Mytilus edulis: one gene and its partner. The protein of the gene in region 1 purifies or fractionates together with the protein of each later gene. This does not show direct contact. Links are inferred from orthologs where the notes say so. Each region holds a gene or a part of one and is shown in the gene's direction. Other genes may lie near its edges.

Region 1 (9,588 bases):
GATAATATTGTATGGGTTTTGCTCATTGTTCAAGGCCATATGGTGACCTATAATAATTATTTACGTCCACGTCCTTTGGTATCTTGTGGATAATTGTATCATTATCATTCAAACCAACATCTCTGTTTACATCAAAGTACATTTGTACTAATTTCCAAATAAAAGAAAGCACGCCATCATTAACTTCAAATCGGAATTCCTCTAGTTCTTTGAAAGATATCATACAACAACGTCATAAATATTTAAAAAGTTTGTAACGATTAACAAAATAATCATACAAAGAAGAGAAACATCAAAGTACATTTGTACTAATTTCCAAATAAAAGAAAGCACGCGATCATTAACTTCAAATCGGAATTCCTCTAGTTTTTTGAAAGACACGGTGCATAACCATAACGGCCACTTCTGGCGGAAACGGATACTGCCACCAAAACCAACGGCGACTTTCGGAGTTTTTCCTATGATGGACTCGGACGACGACCCGAATAATGATGATTTAGACAAATCTGTTAGGTAAGTGATACAATTGCTGTGTCCACGGAATCCTCGGATGTTTTTTTGTCATCTAGAAACCACTTATCCCAACGGACATGTATTCCTTTTATATTTGATTAGCATTTTAAACTAGCGACTATGTGTTGTGCAACTCTTTTTCCATCAAAATGATAATTATTTCCGCTTTAATTAGTACAGTATTATCCATACTTACATGGTTTCGACGTAATCTTTCTTTTGTTAATAACATTTTGTGCATAATTCAAGATTTATAGTCAAACTCCTTCCTTTTCAAAATTATTAGAAACGGACCCATTCACCTAGACCCGTTTCTAATAATTTTGAAAAGGAAGGAGTTTGACTTTAAATCTTGAATTATGCACAAAATGTTATTAACAAAAGAAAGTTTACGTCAAAACAATGTAAGTATGGCTAATACTGTTCTAATTAAAGCGGAAATAATTATCATTTTGATGGAAAAAGAGTTGCACAACACATAGTCACTAGTTTAAAATGCTAATCAAATATAAAAGGAATACATGTCCGTTGGGATAAGTGGTTTCGAGATGACAAAAAAGCATCCGAGGATTCCGTGGACACAGCAATTGTATCACTTACCTAACAGATTTGTCTAAATCATCATTATTCGGATCGTCGTCCGAGTCCATCATAGGAAAAACTCCGAAAGTCGCCGTTGGTTTTGGTGGCAGTATCCGTTTCCGCCAGAAGTGGCCGTTATGGTTATACACCGTGAAAGATGTCATACAACAACGTCATAAATATTAAGTTTGTAACAATTAACAAACTAATCATTCAAAGAAGAGAAACATCGCAGTATTGTTGTAAACTTGAAATAAGCGAATCTATATTGATCCCAATAATACGAGAAGCAGTGATTGAACAACATGGTTATAATTATTAATCAATAATTAAGTCAAGAGTAGTAATTGTACAAATACTTATTCTATCTATTACGACACTGATGAAATATCAAAAATTGACAGATTTATTCTACCTATCAAAGTTCTAGTTGTGTTTGCTTCCTATGAAGACATTAATTATTTTTCATTCTATTTATTGAAGCATAATAAAAATCAAATTTGAAGGACCGACCAACCCAACATTTTATAAATGATATTTTTTTTCAAATGGAAGGCTTATTTCAAAGGCACGCAATCGTCTTTTAAAGAAAAACATTTTTCAATTCTCTTCTGTAACAAACTATTTTCCCCAAGAAATTAAGATTCGAGCAGCTCTCAATTAAACGAACGGTTTACTCTACTGGTTGGAAGTCCGCTAAAAAGGCAATATTTTTAAGAACAGAAAAGTTTAAGACACAAATAGCTTTCTGCAAAAGCAATACAATACCAAAAAATGTTTTGGCTAAAATATTGTTCATTAGAAGTTGTGCTGTTGCATAACTGGCGCGTTTAAGGGAAGAGTTGTCTTCACAAACCACACCTATGTGTCTGGACCAAATCAAGAGACTGTAATCAGGGGTTGTCGTATAATTCATGTCTGTAATACTGTCTTTTCGTAAACTGTTTTGTTATAAATTATGCACTTATTTTTTCGATTGAATTGTATCTCATTTTTTCATGTCGGGACCTTTTATAGCGGATTATACGTTATGTGGTTTTCTCTATGTTGATTGATTGATTGTTGGTTGCTTAACGTCGTCCAGTGGTAAATAGTTCATGCATGTTCAGGACGAGAACAAGTTGACAAAAATACAATAGGTAGGTCTTGTAATACTAGAGGCCATCTGGGATGATGTGTTCGGGGAATGTGGACTGCCTCTTGAAAATAAGGGTGTATTGGATAGGAACAGAAATTTTGCCTTGGAACGGACCACCCCTTAACGAATTTTGTTAGGGTTTTTTAACGTGCAAAGAGCGCGGTACTCTCTTTAAACGAGGCATCGGATTAAGCGCCCCATTCTGACGGGACGTGGCTGCAAGGTTGATACATCCCGCACAGTCAAACGGATGCCCCACTTCGGCAAGCGTTTTACTGCCGGTCGGAAGAAGACCAAGTGACCATATTTCTATTCCCCAGTCACCCTTTGGTGTTCTCAATGTTGAGATTCTACGCGGTATTTGACATAACAACAGGCGATCTTTATTTTTATTGTTGCTTCAGTTAAGTGTACGTTAATCCGTGGTTTTATTAACTCCTGCAAAACTATGGATACTATACGAGGTAGCAGAATGCAATTCTTCGTGTACGAATGAGGTAACAAGATATTATTGCAACTAGATATCTCTACACTATATAAAAAATCAAAATCAGACTAAAAATTATTAGTTGAACTGTGTCAATTATAACGCATAAAAATAGCTATCTCATGATCATTCGTTTCTTTTAAATCTAAGTGCATGGTGAGTGCTTCAGCAGCGTTAATTTTGGCTGTTAACTACATGCACAAACAACTAATTGTATAAGGAAATGGATGAAATAATTCTGAATAAAACAAGATCGCTGGCTCTCGTCCCATGTGGAATTTACTGATCCGAATTATATATCATATTAGGTCACTATAGCACACTTTGTAAATGAGGGGCGAAAGATACCAGAGGGACACTCAAACTCATAGATCGAAAATAAACTGATAACGCCATGGGTATAATTGAAAAAGACAAACAGACAAATTTTATTATATATCTATATATCATTTTATTCTGGTATCAATTAAGTTGGACAAAGGTATACAGAAAAACACATTAGTTAACATAACTTGCATATATGTACATTTGTTGAGGAAGCATTAAATATGAGTTTTTTACAACGGTATGATCAGAATAGCCGACAGATTAACATCAGAGAGAATCCAGTTTGTCATTTATAATTCTAATAAATTGGCACAATTTTCGAAGTTTAGATTTCTGTTTTTGGTTCATAATAGCATTAAATTTTAAGACATTACAGTTCGTTAGGTATTTCTTGTCAATAAGTAGTGTTCTATCTGTCAAGAGACTGTTGCATTCCATTACATAGTGGTATTCGTCACCTATAGCAACTCTGCAAAACGGACACTTTCTCTGTTTTCGGGGAATGTTTTGCCATCTACCATTTTCAATCGGCAGTTCATTGTCCTAAACCACGACATTGTTATTACATCTTTATCATCAAGTACGTTAAGGTAGTGTTCGAAATTGTGTGATGTCTTGTATGGGCGATAATTCAGGGCTTTAGGCGAATCGTTTACCTTTCCTGACCATGACTGTGTAAACTGATCTTCTAGTCTTTGTTTAATTATCGATTTAATGTTAGTTGATGTGTTTAAGTGACCATAAGTAAGAGAATCCACAATTGTCTAGAATACTTTTCATCTTGTCTAACGATCGCGATCGAAATGTTGTTTCTTGTGCTAACTGGAAAAGGTATCTAAACATTACAGCAGCGAGCTTACTTTCTTTACCGGTAATTAACTTTGTCCAATAAGATACAATTCTAGTTTTTATATATATTTCTAGGGGATAGCGACCCAGTTTTCCATAAATGAAGTCGTTTTAAGTAGATGGCTTAAGATGTAAAAGTAGCTTAAAAAAATTGTTTGAACTCTTTCTAGTATATCTATGTTTTCGTAACCCCATATTTCGCCTCCATATAGCAGAATAGGTTTTACCAGTAAGTCAAACAAATCTACATGGTATTTAATTGATAAATTATAAATTCTTTTTATTACACATGTCACAACGAGACAAGTTATCTCGGATTAAAAATGCCTCAATGTGAGTATACTTTACAATAATTACAAAAATCACTTGCCAGCTTAGTACGAATCTAAACTTTGCTAGCCAAATAAAAGATTGTTGACGTGTAATAACAAAAGAAAAATCAATTGAAAATAACTAAAAACAACTGGTAAATATAGATGAGGTCGTTGGGTTTTTTTCTTCAAGAATTTTCTCACATTTCGTCTTCACAGGCGGACCTTTACTAATAACTTACTACAATGTATGGAATTTGACCTAAGGCGAAGGTCGTACCGTGTCCTATAAATATGCTAGTATTTTTCTCTGAAATATATGCCACTAAATGGCCTTCTTAAAAAAATAAGTTTAAAAAATAGAAAACTGGTAGTTTTACAGACGTGGCTTTTATAGATCTTATAAAATATATATTTATTTTTCTTTATTAAGATATACATGATATACGCTTTTGAGTTAATTGGTGTTTAAAATTTGACAATATCGCAGCATTTTATGTTTATAGTACATGTGTTTAACATGGTATACTTACTTTTACTGTTTATAGTTAATAGTTGTTGTAATCATAGTTAGTTTTTATAATGCTTACCAGTGTGTATAAAGCTTATCCACTTGTATATGCTTAGTATAAAATTGAGAATGGAAATGGGGAATCTGTCAAAGAGACAACAACCCGACCAAAGAACCGAAGGCCACCAATATGAGTCTTCAATGCAGAGAGAAATCCCCGCATCCGAAGGTGGGCCTCAGCTAGCTCATTATTAAAAATGTGTCCTAGATTATGCTTATTTTTGTTTAAAATGAGACCTCTTACCGTGAATGTTTTGCTTATCAAAAAGTTCCTTGTGGAAATGTCAGTGTACAAAGTTACAATCTTGTTTTTAACAAAAAATGTAACTTAAAAGTCTTTTTTACAAGATAGGATGATTTAGAAAGAATTTTTACAGATTTTGTTTCTTCTGTATAGAGATTTAATAGACAATATATGATATATATTGTATAAATTTACCAATTTGGCAAGATACATAAACATCATAATACAATAATTATCATAAAATAAGCAAGGTTTATTTTTGTGATAATACACAACATGCAAAGAAATGAAGTAAAATATCAAGTATAATGAGGTAGATTTTATACATAAAAAAAATTGAAAATATATATACAAATTATAAAACCAGAAATATCAGAAATATAGTTCTTCAAATCAAAAACGAGTTATCTCTCTTTATACATGACAGAATCTCCACTCCAATATGTTAGTAAATTGTATTCTATAATATTCTCTCATTTATAATTTTAAACAATTATGTGAGTATTTCTGGTGTTAAAAGTGCATGCGAATCAGTTTTATTTTTGTTTATTAATGTTTATATGAATGTAATTGGTCCTTCGTAGTTTATATGATATAGTTTGGGTTTTTAAACTTTAGACATATCTCTTAGGTGTGTTCTACTTTTGTATTCTGGTTCTAGACAATAGGCCTACATACTCAGTATCTTATACAATCTTCTTATTTTTCCATTTTTTTATTATTTGTACTTGTGTTATATTTTATATAAAAATTTGTGTTATACTGTAGACAAAATAAGTCAAAAAGTTCATTGAATTATATTCTTGAAGACAGCGGAAGTGTCGCCTGAAAATTCGAACGCTCCTTTCAAATCAGACCAAAACCCAAAAGAGCAAAGTAGAATGCAACATGGTGACTTCACAGTGATTGCGTGGACATTTATTAAGATAGCCCGATTTATCATTTAAGTAAAAGCCCTGTTTCTTTGAAAAATTAGGATGTCATCAAGGATTGAAATAAATTTCAGTCGGTTGTTAATGAGATGTGAAAATATGGCAAAAGAAAGAAGTTTGTGGGACTGGAGAATTGAGAAGGTAAACAGACATATGATAAATGACAGCTATAACATCATAAGTTTAGTCCAAATAATTATGACGTCTGGCAAGACGAAGGCGTCCCAGAAAAAAAACCTTTATTGACTCCAGGGGAGGGGAGTTATATTCAAAAACACAAAGCAGGAGCTGAAAAATACATGTTCATCACTGAAATTATCGAGATAATTTTACTCTGTCTCTGACGTCCAAAGGCTGTTTTGCCAGATAAGCTTGTCTGGCAAAACAGCCGTTGGACGTCAGAGTAATCTCGTACTAATCACTGAATATGGAAATTATACATGTACAAATTTACATTTGTATAGCACAAATTATCCCCTTTTGCTTTTTAATATTTACATGCATGAGGGTAGTAGAATCCGGGTCCATTGGCGCCCATTCACGTTCGCACCCACTCATGTTCGACCCCTTTCACTTTCGCACCCTACATGTTCGCACCCAAAGTCCGTTCGCACCCTACATGTTCGCGCCCTATTTCAACTTTGTAATCAAGTAGTATTCTTATAAGTATTATTGTTTTCATTGTCTCAAAATAAAGTGATACAGCATTTTTTTGTGTTGAATAAATCTTAATCATGTTTTGGATAGTGTATTGTTAAAAAAAAAATATTCCTTTCTAAATAAAGTGGGATTCTGTCAACGTTTTATTTTGTGTTGAATAACTCTTTATCATGTTTTGGTTAGTGTATTACTATAACATGTATAACTTTGTTTCATTGACTTGTTTCAAAATGAAGTGAGATTCTGACTACGTTTTTTTTTTTTTGAGTCTTGAATAAATTTTATCATGTTTTGGTTATAATAGTGTATTGCTATATTTTATTGTTTCATTGTTTCAGATCAAAGGGACCAAGCTGTTAAAAACAATTATCTTTTGTGTTTTTCATTTATAATCTTCAATCTTTTACTCATACCAAGCTATAAATACATTCAGTATTTACACGAAAGCAATTAAAAACAACAATGATGATTTTCCAATTATTCAACTGGAATTTGAATTAAAATTGGGCGCGAACGTGTAGAATGCAAACGGACCTTGGGTGCCAACGTGCGAGGTGCGAACGTGTAGGGTGCGAAAGTATATTGGGCGCGATACCAGGGTAGTAAATCAGGTTAAACAGTCATACACGAAAGCAAAACATTTTTGCTCAATCTCACTCTATACATGTTATATGAAATTTGTGAACCCTGGTTATATCATTTTGTGTTACAAGCACACTGTGTAAGTGTTATAAGTAACACATGTATGTATTGTTAATATAAACATTTTAAGGTATACATGTACATGTACATGGTAAATGAATGATGTTATGTAATGATTTCTTTTATTAATTCCAGTATGTTGTTGCACTGCAAGACCAGTTATCTCAGATTAAGAAGTCCTCAATGTAAGTATAATTTACATTACTGTCAATTAAGTAATTATTGCGATGTTTTTACTATTGCGAAAAATGAAAAATGCGACATGGTTACAATTAATTTGAACTGGCATTTGAATTTTTTTTTATGAAGTAAACACTAGATTTTTCACAATATCATATGTTATTACTTCCTTATTTCCAAGATGCTAAAAAACATGTCCCTTTTGATACTTCAACTTTATAAACTTACATGTACATATGATATATATATATATATATATATAATATACATGCAATGTTATAGTGGAAATTTAAAAAAAATAATTTAATACTCATTTTGATTTCATTTTGATTATTTTTCAGGAAGCCAGGTCAGGATATGCTAAATGAATACACTCGTAAGGTGGAATTCTTGAAAGGTTTACTTCAGGCAGAAAAAATGGTAGTTGTTTTTCTTTAACTGGAATTTTGAAAGTCATTTGACCAAAATAATAAAACTTTTTATGCCCCATTTATAGGCATTATGTTTTAAGGTCTGTGCAACCGTCCGTTTGTCCGTCTATCTGTCCGTTTGTCCGTCGGTCTGTCCAGCGACAGGTTAAAGTTTTTGGTTGAGGTAGTTTTTGATGAAGTTGAAGTCCAATCAACTTGGAACTTAGTACACATGTTCCCTATAAAATGATCTTTCTAAATATTTTAATGCCAAATTAGAGATTTTCCCCAATTTCACTGTCCACTGAACATAGAAAATGATATTGCGGATGGGGCATCCGTGTACTGGGGACACATTCTTGTTATTTATCATGTAACATTGAATATGAATTGAATTATTCAATATCATTCTTAATACATGTATATATATGTTGAAATAATTAGTTCATTTGTATTGTGATTATAAAGTAACAGCATGAATATATAATAGACAACATTCAGTTAATTTAAAGCTCAAAAAACAATTAAATCTGTTGAAAATATGTAATTTTTTTTTTAGAATAATAGATGGAGTACAGTGTTATATAACTTTTAATAATTATGCCATAACATACTTTTGGTTTTGTTAATTAGAAGTTAAAGTTTATTTCTTTATTTTTTTCTTTTACATGTAACAGCCAACTGTAACAGAGAAAGCTTTAGCTGCAGAACAACTTCCTAATGTGGCAAAATCTGCTAAGGGACATAACTCTGTTTCATCAGCAGAATTGCAGAAAAAAACAGTTGCTAGACATCAAAAAGATTTAAGAGAAGAGTTATTGGGACCAGAGACAGATAAACTTGATGGTAAGTAAGTCTAAAAACTTAAATGTTTTAATCAACAGTTCAGGTGTAACGGTACTTCTTAAATCTGCATGCCTATATGTACTACTCAAGACATGATCATAAAGCTATAGAAATTTATAACTACATGTATATGGCATATGTAAACATTTTTATCTCCTTTTGTTTTCAACTACCCGGTATTCATTTTCTCGGTTTCAAGAAGGAAAATGCAGAAACGCCCCTCTTGGGAACTTAATTTATAAAGCTTTATTTTCAGAATATAAAATATTGTTACAAAAAGCATGTAAAAAACAAATATTTGTCAACTATAGGTTTTATTTAACAATGTTTAACCAAGCTTATTGATATAAACCATGCCTGATCTGGCTAGTTTATACGTTACATATCCATCAAACATAAATGCAGTGAAGCTTTAAAATGTTTTAGAATTGTTTCATTAACTAATGCAATTTTATATATAGAGGATTAGAGGTCAACTGTTGGAAACAGGCTTCATGGATCATCCCTTTTGAAACTCAATTTCATTGATATAATTTTTTTCAAGTCAGATTACGTACTTAAGCTGAACTTCATGATATATCCCTTTACATTTTCTCAACTCCTTAAATAAATTTATACAGTGCTCTCTGCAAAGCCCTTTTCTTAATTTGAAATGATATTTTTCCTTAGACTAAATAACTTTAATTATATTAAAAGTTGTCTTTGTAGATAGTGGATTAAGACAAAGGAATGTTAAAACAGATAAAGATATAGATATCGTTATACAGCATCAACATCAGATGCACGAAAAACTGGCAGAGGAAATGCTGCAATTGACCAGGAATCTGAAGGAGAGT
Region 2 (8,953 bases), on another chromosome or scaffold:
TAAAATTGAATTAGAAATCTGTTGTAGAATAAGTTATAAGGGATGCAACAATGTAAATGCTATAGTTTATAACAGTATTTGTACAATACCATGCTTTCATTACCACTACATTGCAATTGTAAAATGCTATATTTTGTTTACATATCGCCTATTTAGTAATGCAAAAACATAAGCTTAAGTTTGTAAAATTCAAAAAGTTGTAAACTGTCCATTTCTTTGACAATGAACATGATTATGATGATGGAAAAATCAAAATATTTGATTGTGTGTTATTTTTAATTTAATGGTTCTTTCAAAGGTCAGTACAATAATCAACAAATTATTTATTTCATATTGAATCATTCAGCTAATTTTCATCAAACAAAATTAAAGTTAAAACAGCCAGTCGCTGTCCACAGTTTTCATATGGGTGGAAGGTATGCTGGATTTTGGGGTTGGACCATAATAACAAGTCATATGGTGATATTTGTCAATCATGGAATCCCACAAACTTACAAAATAATATCAAATTAAACGATTCTTTTTGGGCAATTATTTGTGTTTCTTACTACGGTACTTCAAGAGGCATTTCTATATTATAATGATGATTATTTCACATGAAAAAGCGACATTTTATGGAAAATATCTAGTAGCGATGCATTTATTTTGTCTGTTTTTACTTAGTAGTTTTGTAAAATAACATTTCTAGTCTTTGTGGTACTTAAAAATCATAATTCAAAAGAAGTTTCTTTATAAATACATCGATGTTCCATTCTCAGTTTTGTGCACAGGCACTGATCTCAGATTCCCATCCCCCATATATACCTTAAAAAGTGTTATATACAGGTATAAAGAAAAAAAATCTGAGACAAGTGCCTGTGGTTTTATGTACTAATGTTTTTTTTTTCTTTGAAAGATTGTATACTGTTAATAGCTATGATTGTTACTGTATATTGTATTAACTGTGAGAGAACCATAAATAGTAGTGGGAAAAAATGTTTGATATAAATTTAGTTGTATGAGGGGGCAGTTTTTTGCAAAGACTGTCAACATACTTACAATACATACCTCATTTGTATATAGAATGAGCATTATTCATACTTTCTATGCAATAACCACTCATGTACAGTTTCAATGCATATCAGGATTCAATGTTCTAATATAGATAAAGATCTGCTTATATACAACAGTATTTGCTTATTTTCTACATTATAAATCTTATAAATCAGCCATATATTAACAGACATGATGTTTTCCATTTTATTATTTGTTTTTGCCTATTACTTAAAATGTACTGTTTTTGCTACTTTTGATGAACAAAAGTTTCAAAACAAAGAAGACCTGACCAATTTTAATAGTAAACTTAAGTAAAAATTTTGAAGAAGCAAATTGAAGATCTGGAACTAGAAACTTTTTGGGAAGTAAAAATTTTGAAGAAGCAAGTTGAGCATTTTGAACTAGAAACTTTTTGGGAAGTAAAAATTATGAAGAAGCAAGTTGAACATTTTGAACTTGAAACTTTTTGGGAAAAATTATGAAGAAGCAAGTTGAACATTTTGAACTTGAAACTTTTTGGGAAAAATTATGAAGAAGCAAGTTGAACATTTTGAACTTGAAACTTTTTGGGAAAAATTATGAAGAAGCAAGTTGAACATTTTGAACTTGAAACTTTTTGGGAAGTAAAAATTTTGAAGAAGCAAGTTGAACATTTTGAACTTGAAACTTTTTGGGAAGTAAAAATTATGAAGAAGCAAGTTGAACATTTTGAACTAGAAACTTTTTGGTAATTCAAGCTAATGTTAACCATGTCATTTGATTCTTGGCTCAATACGAGCCATTTTGGGGTAATTTAAGGGTAAATTGTCATTTTATCATTTACTTTTGTTTTTTGGATAAATTAGCTTTGCTAGTTTAATTAAGAAAACTGATAAGATATTCATAAATTTTTTAATAGTATACTTCATTAGAATTTAGAACTCATAAAAAATGTTTGAAAAGTCCAATTTAAGGAGATAGACTTAGGTTAAGGGAAATAACTCTTAAAATCATCAGTACGTTGGTGTCAACCATTTTCAAAAATATATTCTAAGCTTCTACGTTACATAGTTTATTTTTAATCTGTTGCAGGTAAATGCTTTAAATACATTGATGAACTTGACTTTAACAAATGCTTTACTGATTTAAAGAGTTATCTCCCTGAACCAAGGTCTACCCCCTTAAGTATCAAGTATAGTGCTTCTAATATTATATTCATCATACTGTTTTATTCTTGAGAAATAGATGATGATTCATGCTTTACATTGTATTTTAACAAGTTGAACATTGTCTAAACATTTTATCTTGGATATTTTGATAGCAACATACCAAAAAAGATACAATATTTTTAACAAACAAAAGTAGAAAACATCTAAAACAAAAAGTCATGATATAGAACATAGCATTGCACAAAATTCAATGATATACAAAATATAATTTTCTGTCTAAAGTATTTATTATTTATTTGGTTATCATATGCTATCATTGTTTGAATTATGATAGCGGAATCTCTTTTGAACATTACATATTTTGGTATATAATATATTTAAACACTTTATTGGAGTCATACGAACAATATTTTACATTACCTATGAGGGGTAATAATTCCTAGCAAACATGGGTTAAATTAAATGTTTTAATATTTGATGCTGGAATTTTTATCCAAAACAAAAATTATCCTTTCTTTGTCTCATATTCATGTTTTATCAGTTTATTTGGAATCCTTTATTTTTATATTGATGTGACTATTTATTGTATATTTTTTAATATTATGTATATACAAATATATCAATAACTTTGTACTACATTTTCATGCTCTTTTAACTTCATACTTAGTGCAATATTAAAATATTTGTTGTGTAGATATGTAGATCAAATTTGTGTCTCTTAGCTATAAAGGTTGTTTTAAAGTCTTTCATTCAACCTTTGTAGCTAAACATACTGTATCAGTTTTAAAAAATCCAGAGGGAATTTAAAGTCTTTTTTATGCTATAACATTTTTATAAACAAATATTCAAGTGATATTAGAAAATAATTTGTTTAAATACAGGACTTAATTATAGTATAAACAAGAATTGAGAAAAACCTAGAAACAAGATAACTTTTTTCTTCATATATATAAAAACTGTTTGCATGAAAGAAAAATCATGAGAATTTTCAGTATCTTTCATCTATAAATTTCTTTAATGTTTTTTTTTATTAAATTTCAGAATTGAACTGAAATAAAGAAACGAGAAATGTAATTTGAAAAAAGTTGAACACCAAAATAAAAGACAACTTGTTTTATATATATTATCTCGTTTTCTAAAAAGCAAAAAACATTTTCCTTTTCCCTGTATCTGCATATGAGTAAGATTTCATTAGTTCAGTAGTTTTCTTGACACATTCAACCAAGGATGTCAAAAGTTAAATTTGTTGAAAATTTGTATTGTGGTAAGGGAGATAATCGCCTCTATTTAATAACTTACCTAAATCTAACTGTACTACACAAATAGCAGTTATACTTGGTATCCAAGTAGGTTATTCAAGACCAATAGTAACAAAAATTGACCTTTCTTACAGTAATTTAAAAAATATAACAGTAATCAGGTTGTTAGACACTTTTGTTGTTTTTTTATGTAACTGTTTCTTTTGATGTTTATATATTCACATATATATATATTTAGTTTATATCATGGCATAATACAAAACCATCAGAGTAACTAACAGAATCAAATAAAAATATCTTGCCTATTTTTGCATCTTATTTCATTAGTACATATAAAAAAGAAGATGTGGTATGATTGCCAATGAGACAACTATCCACAAAAGACCAAAATGACACAGACATTAACAACTATAGGTCACCGTACGGCCTTCAACAATGAGCAAAGCCCATACCGCATAGTCAGCTATAATAGGCCCCGATAAGACAATGTAAAACAATTCAAACGAGAAAACTAACGGCCTTATTTATGTAAAAAAATGAATGAAAAACAAATATGTAATTAGCAGTGAATATGGATGTTTGTCCATGGTTCATTGGTCAATGTTAAATTTCTGCTGTTTGGTGTGTATTAGATACTTTAAGCAAATTAATCTAAGTCTATATTTGGTATATGAAATGATTTTAAGGTGTTATAAGTCCATTACTCAGATATATTATGCAAAGGGTAAACTATATTAATTGTATGAAATTATTGCAAGGTGAACATGTTTGTTTGATGGGGTTGATCCTAATCCTTGTTATAATTTTATGGCTCAAAGAAATTGATTCGATTTAAGGCCTATTATGGGTTTGCTAGATGCTTTATAAGTAGTAGTATATAGCTGTATTTGATGCATGAAATCATTACATGGTTTTCTGGTATGTTCGTGTTTTACTGACCTCAACTTTGACCTTGATTTAATTGATTATTGTTCAGGTATGAGTGATTGTGGTAAGATCTATTTCTTAGTTACTATTAGCATAAGCTTTAATACAATTGATGTACAGAATGATTGTATGGTGTACATATAAAAAAGGAGATAAGGTATGGTTTTCACAACTACCCACCAGAGGCCCAACAAGTATGTAAACGATAGTAACTTAATGTCACAACAAACCATCAACAACAAGCAAAACCAATATGGTGTAGTAAACCTTAAAAAGCTAATTTCTAATCAATGACAAACCAGCAAACTAAATTCTAAAAATATGACAGATAACAACCTGTCTGCCATAAAGGGTTTATCTTCCCTTTCCTCATTTAACTCATTTAACTTCATTTGTAAAGGTTAGATTTCATGATAAGTGTTTTATAAGCAAGAGTTCATTATTTAGTGTATGGAATGGTTGATCTGATAAACTTGTAAAGTGTAAATGGCAGTACGACAGGGTTACTGGGTTATCTGATCTTGTCCATATTTATACGGATCATAATTTATTGATGTTTATAAACATTAAATAGTTTATATTCAGTCTATTTTAAACCAGCACCCATTATCCACTTGCTGGTTTTAATCTGACTGAGTTTATTTGGTACTTGTAGTAAAACTTTAATGTGAAAGACTTTCAGCATAAATACAATTGTGAAAAATAGGCAAAACATTTGTGTTAAATTTGCATAAAAAATGATAAAAGCTAAACCTTGTTTTTCTTGTGTAACTTTATTGAACATTCTTCAAAAATTTCTAAATCTGCACCTGCACATGGCATCTTCTGTCTTTTTCCTATTTTATAAAATAAAAATAAAAAATTGAGATTGATGAACCTGAAGATTAAGATAATCAGTATGTTGATGGCGATTTAATATATGGCTGGAGTAAACAAACATTTTTTTCAGAATAATGCTTGATGAATTAAGTGGTAATGCGGCTGCTAACAGAGGATCAAAATGTCAGAATTTTGTCTCAAAAAGACATTTATCCCTCATTTTCACAAGCACTTGTCTCAGAATCCCCCTTTGTATACCTTAATATAAGTTAACTGTGTTATAAAGTGTTAATTCAGAGACAGTATCTGTGCCTAATAATTTCCCTCCACCTTTAAATTCAGTTCAAGGGTTCTGGAAAACAATCTAATGACTTGTGATTAATCAAAGTGAAAGTGAAAGTAGAGTTGTCCTTCTTTGGTCAATGTCATAAATGCCACGTCAACCTCCAGGTGGCAGTAACAACAAACATGGCTTCCATTAGGGAGAAACAAGTTCTTGCTTTAAAACGAATGCTTAATTTTAACACTCCTCCAACAAAATCAAGCTCAGCAGAGCCACAATGGAAAGTACTCGTCTATGATAGGTTTGGTCAAGACATAATCTCGCCGTTATTGACCGTCAAAGAGCTCCGCGAGTTGGGAGTAACTCTTCACTTGAATCTTCATTCAGACCGGGATTCTATTCCAGATGTTCCGGCTATTTATTTTGTATTACCAACTGATGACAACATTAGAAGAATATGTCAAGACATACAAAACCAGCTGTATGACTCGTATTACATGAATTTCATATCTGCTATTTCCAGGCAAAAACTTGAAGACATTGCCCAAACAGCTATTCAATGCAATTGTGTACAACAGGTTTCCAAAGTTTTTGATCAATATTTGAACTTTATTTCATTAGAAGAAGACATGTTTACCCTAAGAAATCTTGACAAAGAACTATCATATTATGAAATAAACAAAGGTGACGTCAAAGACACTGAAATGGAGCAGATCATGGATACTATCGTTGACAGTTTGTTTTCTGTTTTTGTAACACTGGGTACCGTGCCCATCATTCGATGCCCAAGAGGTAATGCAGCAGAAATGGTTGCAGAGAAATTGGACAAAAAGTTGAGAGAGAATCTTAGAGATGCCAGGAACAGCTTTTTCACTACTGACAATATACAGGCCGGACAGTTTAGTTTTCAAAGGCCATTATTAGTTTTGCTCGATCGAAATCTAGATTTAGCCACTATGCTCCATCATACATGGACATATCAAGCGTTAGCACATGATGTATTCAATCTTCTCCTGAACCGAGTTGAAATAGAAGAATCTATAGAAGTTAAAGGTCCAGCTGGCAATATGATGACAAAAAAGAAAAAGAAAAGCTATGATCTGAATCCGTCTGATAGATTTTGGGAAAAGGAAAAGGGTAGTCCATTCCCACAAGTTGCAGAAGCTGTTCAAGAACAGTTAGAAACCTACAAGACACATGAAGATGAAATAAAGAAAATGAAATCGGCAATGGGTCTTGAGGGTGATGATGAAGTAGCATTCAGTATGATGAATGATACAACCGCCAAACTTACTTCAACAGTAAGCTCATTGCCGGAGTTGCTAGAAATGAAGCGTTTGATTGACATGCACACTAACATCGCTACTGCCATGTTGGAACACATAAAGCACCGTAAACTAGATGTCTACTTTGAAATGGAAGAAAAAATGATGAGCAAGGCACTTTTAGACAAATCGCTGATGGACATTATATCAGACCCTGATTTAGGAACACCGGAAGACAAAGTCAGAATATTTATCATAGCATTGATCTGTGGTCCACCAATGAGTGATGCTGAAATTGATCAATATTGCGTAGCCTTGACTGGTGCTAACTGTGAGGTAGCACCAATCACGTTCATTCGTAGATGGCGAGCTTATAATAAAATGAATGCAGCGCCAAGTCAATATGGAGGAGGGGGAACAACAACTGTAGGAATGTTTAACAAATTAATGAATAAAAGTTCACAGTTTCTTATGGAAGGAGTTAAAAACTTGGTTATTAAAAGGCACAATTTGCCAGCCACCAGAATTGTGGATGGACTTATGGAGTCAAAGACATTGCAAGAAATTGAAGACTATCGTTACTTTGACCCAAAACTTTTACGTTCAGATTCATCATCAGTTCCTAGAAACAAATCTCCATTCCAAGAAGCTTACGTGTTTATGATCGGAGGTGGAAATTACATTGAATACCAAAATTTAATAGACTATGCCAAATCAAAATCATCATCAAGTGCTGGACAAAAGAAAATTGTTTATGGGTGTAGTCAGCTTGTTAATGCAGCAAGATTTTTAGAACAGTTGGGCCATCTTGGCCAAGAAATGTAAATTTAAGGGGGGATAAATAAATGTATTGTGAAATTAAATATTAATTTATTCAGTTTTTGTAATGAATCCTTTTTTGTGTGTCAATGGTTTGACAAGCTATACTTCATGTACATGTACATTTTACAACAATATAAAAAAAGAAGATATTGTATGATTGCAAATGAGACAACTCTCCATACATGTACCGGTATATGCCATAAGAGACAAAATTACACAGACATTAACAATAGGTCACTGAATGGCCTTTGACAATGAGCAAACTCCCTACCACATAGTCAGCTGTAAAAGTCCCTGAAATGAATTATGTAAAATAATTATGATTAAGAGAAGACATATAGCATAAATTCAAGCTGTATACATCCATTATTTTGATCTCATTTTCATTTAAATCGGTAAACTTTAAAAAAAAAAACATTTTGTCTTGCCTTTTGTGTAGCAAAATTTAATGGATCAGTGATCGAGGTAAAGTTTTTGTGATCAAGTCCATTTTGTAGATATGCATTATGGCAACTTATTTTGAATTTTAAAATTTTTGTAAGGCTTTCTTGTCTGACTGACAGGTTTTCTCTAACTTGGCATCAATTTCATGGTTTATAGGTCAATGTAAAGTTGTTGAGGTTTGTTGTTTCTCAGACACTATAAACAACTGATTTATGTATTGTTATATAAAAATGAGGAGATGTGATATAATTGCCATTGAGACCATTCTCCACAAGAGACCAAATGCAACAGAAATTTACAAGTATAGGTCACGGTGAGGCCTTCAACAATGAATAAAACCGCATACTGGTAGTCGGGTACTTGTATAAAAGGTTTGGCAAACTTTCTCCAAAACTGAGGTCGTTAACGCAAAACTGACATCAGTTGAAATGATCAACAGGTCAAAAGTCTGTCTCCCTTGGAGTTTTAATGAATAGAATATTTAGCAAAAACAGGTATTCAGAAAAGTCGTGGAGGAAATCCTCAATTGAAACCTTACATGAGTTATTGCCCTTGAGATATGATTTTAACCCATTTATTCAGACACCATATACAGAAACTGTTTAGGGTAAATATGATTTACAAATAAAGTCAACACAGCTGAAAACATTATGGGCCCTCTATAGGAGTTATTGCCCTTGAAAGATGGTTTTAACTTAATTTTTCATCTTTTGCAGAAACTATCATTTAACTAAAACTTTCAAGTAGCAAAAATGTTAAATGCATATTTAGGTCTTTCCACCTTTTCATGTGGAAAGACCTATTGAATTTCTTCTGATTATATTTTTATACGACTGCAAAAATTGAAAATTTTTTGGTCATATATTGGTATCAAGTTGGCGTCGTTGTCTGCGTTGTCGTCGTCAAAAATAAAAATTAAACTTAGTTTGATTTTAACAAAAATTGAATCCT

What was found.
Region 2: the proteins of vesicle transport protein USE1-like (region 1) and sec1 family domain-containing protein 1-like purify together in Homo sapiens (affinity purification with mass spectrometry; 3 studies listed by BioGRID and IntAct, counting the BioPlex papers as one, with this or other methods). This does not show direct contact. The link is inferred for Mytilus edulis from reciprocal best matches to the Homo sapiens genes USE1 and SCFD1.

Annotation. Positions count from the first base shown.
Region 1 is NC_092347.1:63,337,364-63,346,951, reverse strand, and holds the start of vesicle transport protein USE1-like, read left to right. Parts: upstream 1-5,884; 5' UTR 5,885-5,999; coding exon 6,000-6,095; intron 6,096-7,451; coding exon 7,452-7,501; intron 7,502-7,837; coding exon 7,838-7,916; intron 7,917-8,583; coding exon 8,584-8,752; intron 8,753-9,460; coding exon 9,461-9,588.
Region 2 is NC_092350.1:47,219,044-47,227,996, forward strand, and holds sec1 family domain-containing protein 1-like, read left to right. Parts: upstream 1-5,614; 5' UTR 5,615-5,656; coding exon 5,657-7,561; 3' UTR 7,562-7,613; downstream 7,614-8,953. UniProt on the Homo sapiens protein: Plays a role in SNARE-pin assembly and Golgi-to-ER retrograde transport via its interaction with COG4. Involved in vesicular transport between the endoplasmic reticulum and the Golgi.